2 linked regions of the Elephas maximus indicus genome follow. The protein of the gene in region 1 interacts with the protein of each later gene in a pairwise test. Links are inferred from orthologs where the notes say so. Each region holds a gene or a part of one and is shown on either strand. Other genes may lie near its edges.

Region 1 (3,750 bases):
AAATTAGTATTTGTGAACCTATATCAATAACTTTTGGAGAGCGAAGTTAGTAATTAAAGGAAAAGAAGTGATATACAGGAATTACGATTTACAAGTAACATCAATACAAAAAATATTACTAAGGATTCCATATGGTCTGGTATGGGAGGAGGTCCGTGGAGGGGGGTGACACCATTGGTTACTGCACTGGGTGACACTAACCCTTGTGACGCCACTGACAATAACCCCAATTGTGTGGAGTCACAAAGAGCGCTGACACTGTGAAGTCACTGGATCCTCCAACCACGCTCACCGTGCAGGCATTATTTCATTCCATCCTCATCTCTGTTAATGAGATACTGTTAGTACACCCATTTTATAGATGAGAAGACTGAGGCTCAGAGAGATAGTGTGACCTTCCCAAGGCCACATGGTTAATAAATGGCAGAACCAGGAATCAAACCAGGGTCTACTAAACTCCAAAGCTCAAGTACGTATATATCCCAGGATGTAGAAAGGTCTTAGATGAGAAAACTGTGGCTCAGAGAGGTCAAATGACTTGCCAAAGGTTGTACATCTGGAAAGTGGCAGAGGCAGTATGCAAACATCTCCCCCCCCCTTTTTTTAAGCACCAAACTCATGTCCATTTTAGCAACCAGAAGATAAGGGGGCCCAAGTAGATGATCTCAAAGGTCCCCTTCAGTTGAGAAGCATTTGAGTTCTGGGTTGTAGAGGAGAGGAGCTGGAAGGAGAATGGATGCAAATAAAGAATCTCCTTGGTCTTATTGCAGTTCCTCATGCCTCATGACTCAGACAGCCAGTGTGGTTGCCCCAGACCTGCCCTTTCAGCCTCATCTCTTCCTTCAGTGAAGGCGAGAAAAAGTCATTCAACAAACTGAGGGCCATCAAGTTGCGGAGCTTGGGTCTCCAGGCCCTCACACTTATCCCCGCAGCAGGTTCTTCCCGGAACGGTATGAGTCCACAGTCACCCACCACACAGCGCCGCCCCCCCCCCGCCCCCCGCTCATAGTGGCACAGGCCCTCACTCACCCAGCAGTGTGTCAGCAGTGACAGCTGCCCCTAAGCCAGATTATGAAGCAGTCACACCCTTCCACATTGGAACACACACCAGCACTGGGACACACACCACACCCTCTGACCCCACACCCAAGGTGCCCCTCAGAGGTCTACCGGGGGTAGAGGGATGCACTTGCCCCAGGCGGGTCCAAAGGAGGACGCCAGACGAGGCTTGGAATGACATTCCAAGGCGCCACAAACATGAAAGGCGCCTGACTGAGACAGTTGGACAAGAAGGGAAAGGCATTTCTACTGATACGTCACTCTATCAACGTCTATTCATTCATCTTGACATTGGGAGGGGGGCGTAATTTAGAGATTGCCCCTGGCACCTTTACCCTTGCTACGGCCCTGCCCTCTCCTCTCCCTGACTTGGTCCCACCCGGCTTTCCCGAAGGCCACGCACCTGAGAGCCTCTCGGACCTCGCGGCGGGGACACACCCCCGGGGAGGAGCTGCAATTGCAAGCCCAGCTGGCTGCGGCCAGCTCGGGTTTCCTCTCCTCCGCCCAGAGACCAGACAGGGACCAACATGGCACAGAAGGGTCCCGCCCGCGCCCTGGAGCCCGAGCACGTCCAGCGGCTGCTGCTGTCCTGCCGCGAGGCCAAGAAGACTGCCTACTGCCCCTACAGCCACTTCCCTGTGGGCGCCGCCCTCCTCACTGGGGACGGCAGGATCTTCTCCGGTAAGGGCGGACGCCCGGGGCTCCTCATCCCCGGCCGCATTGGGAAGGGTAAGGGGAGGACGGGCCAGACTCGTGGAAGAGGCACCGCGAAGACAGCCCAGCTCTGCCCTCGCCAGCTCCTGTCCCCTTCTCTGGGCCTCTCTTGCCCTGCCTGCTGCGGAGGGGAGGGGGGCAGGGCGGAGGGCAAAGGGTGTAAACGTGCTTACAAACTCTACTGCTGGTTGAAACCAGGGGCTTGCAATCCTCAGAGGACTGGGAAGCAGGAAGGAAGTTTTGAAGGGGAGGCAGGAAGGGACACAAACCAAGAGCATCAGGCAGTCCTGAGCTGGGATGAAGAGGGTTAACTCTTTCGGAGCCCCTGTGTGCCTGGCACTGTGCTGAAGCTTCCACAAGTTATATCAGTAAGTCCTACCCCCAAACACTCGCCTAGGTGTTACACCCATTTTTAGACGAAGAAACTGAGGCCCAGAGAGGTGATGTGACTTGCCCAAGGTCACACAGGGTATTCACGGTGGAACCCAGAGCTGGGATCCCCAAAGCCCTGCTCTCTTCCCTACACACACTCTCTGTGCTGGGGGAGAGGCAAGAATCCAGGTGGGATCACTCAGTGGGGTGCCGGCCTTCCAGGGAGTCCCAGAGGAAAGGAAACAGGCAGGGTTTGTGAGTCAGTGAGTGGGAGCCTAGGAAGATGGGGTGGAGAGCAAATGAATCTGAGCCCACACTAATCATCCCTAAGCTCCTTTTCTTTGGTTGGTTGGTTTTATAGAAAGTTTCACTTGAAAACAAAACAAAACAAAAAAACCTTGTTTTTGCTAAACTAAGGGGCAGCTCCACTCAGGAGAGGGGAGAATGTGATGTGAAGGTGGCAGGGAAGTTTTGCGCCCCCTCCGCAGCTAGAAAGTGGGCACACTGGACAGATGGGGAGATTCAACCCTGCTGCCTACAATCCCCTTCCACTTAGCAGCAGGTTTTTAAAGGACCTGAGGCTCCTATGTGTACACGTGGTTGGCAACCTCCCACCAACCCTCATCAGGTCCAGACTCAGGTCCCTCATTCCCACCACCGCTCCAGCTGTGAGTCCGCTTATAGGGACTGCATCTCCCCTTCTATCACAACCCTTCCTGGGCTCCTCCTTGATATTCATTTTATCTCCTGTCTTTTGAGATTCTGTTTCATGAATCACCTGGGATTTAAACTTCTTCAAGCTGAAGTAACATTGATTGAGCCCCTAGTATGAGAATATGACTAATGTTATCCACTTAACCCTCATCAAACCCACAATGCAGTTATTATATCACCACTTCACATCAGAGAGAGGTCCCTGGGTGGCACAAACAGTTTGTGCTGGGCTGCTAACTGAAAGATGGGTAGTTTGAATCCACACAACAGCACCACGGAAGAAAGGCCTGGTAATCTGCTTCTGTAAAGATTACAGCCAAGACCTTTTAACTCAGTACTCAAGTCGCTCCTGAGGTTCAGCCCAAGATGAGACAGGCCCATAAAACAAACAAGAATAAAACAACCATGTATATGAGATCAAACGGGCACACTAGCCCAGGAGCAAGGATAAGAAGGCAGGAGGGGACAGGAAAGCTGGACAAATGGAAATGGGGAACACAGGTTCGAGAAGGGGAGAGTGTTGACGTGTCACAGCGTTGGCAACCAATGTCACAAAACAATATCTGTATTAATTGTTTAATGAGAAACTAATTTGCTCTGTAAACGTTCATCTAAAGCACAATAAAAAAAATTAAAAAAAAAAAAAGATTACAGCCAAGAAAACCCTATGCAGTAGTTCTACTCCATCACACACGAGGTCACCATGAGTCAGAATCCACTCAGCAGCAATGGGCTTGGATTTTCTGGTTTTTGCAGAGGAGGAAACAGGCTCAGAGAGATTAAAATGACCAAGATCACAAAGCTGGGATTCAAACCCAGGTCTGCCTCAACTCTAAAGTCCACTATTCAGTAGGAGTAAAATGTCACACTGAAATTCAGGCCTGGCCTGAT
Region 2 (3,750 bases), on another chromosome or scaffold:
TACTCTGCCTTCGAAAATGCTTCCAAGAGTAGAACCTGTGTTCACACAGGTCAAGGCTACAGAGGCTTTTTAGAAATGCTGAGTCACTTATACACACCAGCGACTTACACATTTCCTCTTTTGGAAAAACAAGATACTAACGATAACAGCAAAATTAAGACACACTGGCCTGGTGCCAGCAGATGGCTCTTCTACAGACAAACTGGGTTAGTGCGCAAGACAGAGATTAAAATAAACTATGCTGTTTTATTTATCGCCCCAATCTGCTCGGCAGCTAGACTTATTTAAGGTCTTGTTTAATGCCCCCTCTCCCTTTTTTCATTATTATTATATTTAAGGAGAGAGCAGCATTTAGCAATCTCAGTTCTGTTTTTCAGGCTGCCTTTTTTTTTTTTTTTTATGAAGCAGTCACCATAAATTATCTACTGTCTACCTGGTATAAAGCCCAATGACTCATCTGATACTTGTGTGGTTAATTTCTTTAATAATGCTATCCCAAGGGCAGTGGGAGGGCTTGGACCTTAGCCACAACTATTTCAGGACTTCTATCTTCTACCCTGCTGAATACAGGTCAAGGGAGGGGGCACTGAATCTTTACACTATAGTAATTTGCCTTCCCACATAAGAGTTATCAAAACATTCCTTCAAAACTATCTGCTACAGAAATGTGCCAGAATCTCAAAGACAAAGCCATTGCTAGAAATGTCATTCCAATATCAAATCTGGATAACTGGTTACCGTAACCACTTCTTCCTGTAGACTCAGCCCATCTTGGTATCATAAGCTGTTCTTGGCATCGTGAAACACCAATCTCTACTCAGGTCCTCATTTCCCTGTTAATGATTCATCTTTCTGATATTTTTTAAACAAGTTACCCACCCCCCCAACAAAGGAATAAATTTCACTTCATTTCTAGTATCTGAATAACTTCCCATATTTGAATTGTTTCCCCATTTGCTTTTACCTGTATTATATCCTTTATCATTTCAGGTGGCCTCTAAACCCAGCTACTTTCCAATCCAGAAGTTTCCATTCCCTCCAATTCTACTTAATCCTCCACTGTCCCAGTTCCTGGTCCTTTCCTCCATATGTCTTACTTCACTTGCTTTGGGAGCTTAAAGGATTTTACAAGACCAGGGTCCTGCACTGGAGCCATAGTTATCCTGCCCAGAAGAGTAGAAAATGGGCTGTTTCATTCCTCCAACTCCTTCAGTTTCCTCATCAGCTGACAGATGAGGCTTTACAGGTTGCATAGCTCTGGAACTTTCTAAAGTAATGACTCTATTGTCAGGGTTTTTCTGGGCTGATTCGCCACTGACTTAATTATGACCTACATGCCTTACAAAGCCCCAGTACAACTATTTGCAGAATGGCTATTAACCTGGAGTTACTACAGCACATACTGAGACACAGTTGTAGTCCCCAATAGATAGGAACTCACCCCAACAATAAACTTGGATAATAAAGAAAAAATATATATTATATATTAAAGGCCAGTTAACAGTTTTTTTTTTTTTTTTTAACAGTTTACTGTCCCAGCTCAGGACCTAATTTCTCCTGTGACTGGTGAAGTCACTTCCTGCACTGGTAATGGTTCCCTCAGGGTCCAAGTGAGAGCATAGAACATTCCTCCTTTCAGTTGTAAGCACTCTGCCCTCTGCTGGTGGCTACACCTTGTCCTAGTCAAACCAAACCAGACTCTCTGTGGCCCAGTCTATTCTGACTCACGGAGACTCTACACGACAGAGTAGAACTGCCCCACACGGCTTCCAAGGTGCGGGTGGTGGATTCGAACTGCCAACCTTTCGGTAAGCAGCCAAGCTCTTAATCACTGCCCCACCAGGGGTCCAGTCAAACCAGAGGCAAGAAAAAAAAAAAAAAAGTGGAAGATTCTCAGGCACCAGAAGTCAGTGGCATTTTGAATGAACATGTTCCCTGAGATTTTTTGACAATTTGACTGTCTCATCTCATTTCTTTCCTCCAACCATCCTGAAAATCCCGAAATTTACTATTCACTCGTTTTTTGTGAATCGCTCTATATTTCAGATTTGAAATTAAAAAAAAAAAAAAACTAGGCCAAGGAGAAATAAAAATCCCTGACCTCCGGAGTTCTCCATCTAGTTGGGTGAGAGACTAAACCGTGAAAAAGGAAAACCACATAAAGCCACGTACAACAAAGCATCAAAAACTAAAGATACTGTCAAAAGCAAGTGGAAGGCAGCGGACAGGCCTCCTGGAGAAGCGCGGTGGGATTCACGCGCGAGCTCAAAGCGTCAAAGACATTCTCCTCCTCCCCAGAGCTGCGACCTCCGGGCGGGAAAGAGGAGAAAAAAGGAGCCCGTAATGCCCTCGACCTCGGCAGCCGCAGCAGGGGCTGAGCCGGCTGCCGGCGCTGGAGCCCGGGAACCAGGAGACCCCAGAGGGCGGGAGGGCGGCCGGGCCCGCGGACGGCACTCGGACAAAGGAGGCGGCGCAGGAGCCCCGCGTCTGGACGTCGGGAGCGCAAACGAGCGCCCAGCGGTCAAGGAGGAGCAGGGCTGGGGCTGCAGGGGCCGCGCGGGGGGTGGGGTCCGGACGGGCGTGGGCGGCTCTAAGGGAGAGGACGTGGAGGGTACCAGCGCCGGACCGGAGGCCGGGGGGGCGGGCCGGGAGGGGACCGAGGGCGAAGGCACGCTGGAGGGTCCACTCGGAGGGGCGCGGGCCGGACGCCTGGGCGGCCGGCCCAAGGGTTGCAGGGCGCGGGGTCGCCACGACCGGGGCGGGGGGACAGTCACCTGAAACCACGCCCAAACGCCGCTCTCCGAACCAGGGCCTGCTGGCAAAACGACGCGTCTCTAGCTCCCGAACTGCTGTGAGAGAAACAGCTGAGCCGAACGGCGAACATCCTGGGCGGCCGCCTGCGTCACGCGCACGCACATGCGCCTGGCGTTGCGAGAGGACACTCTGGGAGTTGTAGTTGCTGGCGGGAGAACTTGGGGTTGTTGGAAGAGAGCTTGGAGGGAGGGGGTGGAGCACGGGCTACCGGGTTAGGAGCTTTCTCCATCTCTTCTTTTTTTAAAAAAAAATATAATTTTATTTATTTTATTATTGCAAAACATGCACCAGTTACATTTTCTACGTGTACCATTTAGTGACATTAATTATATTCTAGTTCTGCAACCCTTCTCACCCTCCTTTGCTGCCCTGTGGTGGTACCTACGCCTTGTCCTAGTCAAACTTGACCAAATCAAACCAAACACTTTGCGGTCCAGTTGATTTTGACTTATAGCGACCCTACAGGAAAGAGTAGAGCTGTCCCATACAGTTTCCAAGAAGTGGCTAGTGGATTCAAACTGCCAACCTTTTGGTTAGCAGCCAAGCTCTTAACCACTACCCCACCAGGGCTCCTGTCAAACCATAGCCAAGGAAAAAAAAAAAGTGAAAGATTCTCAGGCACCAGGAGTCAATGGCGTTTTGAATTAACATGTTCCCCGACATTTTTTGACCATGTGACCATTCCACCTCATTTCTTTCCTCCATCCATCCTGAAAAACTAGAAAGTTACTGTTCGCTCATTTTTGTGAATCGCTCAATATTTGAGATTTAAAATTAAAAAAAAAAAAAAAAACTAGGCCAAGGAGAAATAAAAATCCCTGACCTCCGGAGTTCTCCATCTAGTTGGGTGAGCAACTCAAACGTGAAAAAGGAAAACCACGTAAAGTCACGTACAGCAAAGCATCAAAAATTGTTAACATAAATTTAATAAAGTAA

What was found. The genes of interacting proteins can lie anywhere in the genome.
Region 2: the proteins of CDA (region 1) and PLEKHB2 interact in binary tests that used the Homo sapiens proteins (3 or more experiments, as listed by UniProt). The two-hybrid records come from large-scale screens. The link is inferred for Elephas maximus indicus from reciprocal best matches to the Homo sapiens genes CDA and PLEKHB2.

The regions. Positions count from the first base shown.
Region 1 is NC_064821.1:60,841,995-60,845,744, forward strand, and holds the start of CDA (cytidine deaminase), read left to right. Parts: upstream 1-1,514; 5' UTR 1,515-1,586; coding exon 1,587-1,740; intron 1,741-3,750. UniProt on the Homo sapiens protein: This enzyme scavenges exogenous and endogenous cytidine and 2'-deoxycytidine for UMP synthesis.
Region 2 is NC_064824.1:17,843,645-17,847,394, forward strand, and holds the start of PLEKHB2 (pleckstrin homology domain-containing family B member 2), read right to left. Parts: upstream 2,897-3,750; 5' UTR 2,775-2,896; intron 1-2,774. UniProt on the Homo sapiens protein: Involved in retrograde transport of recycling endosomes.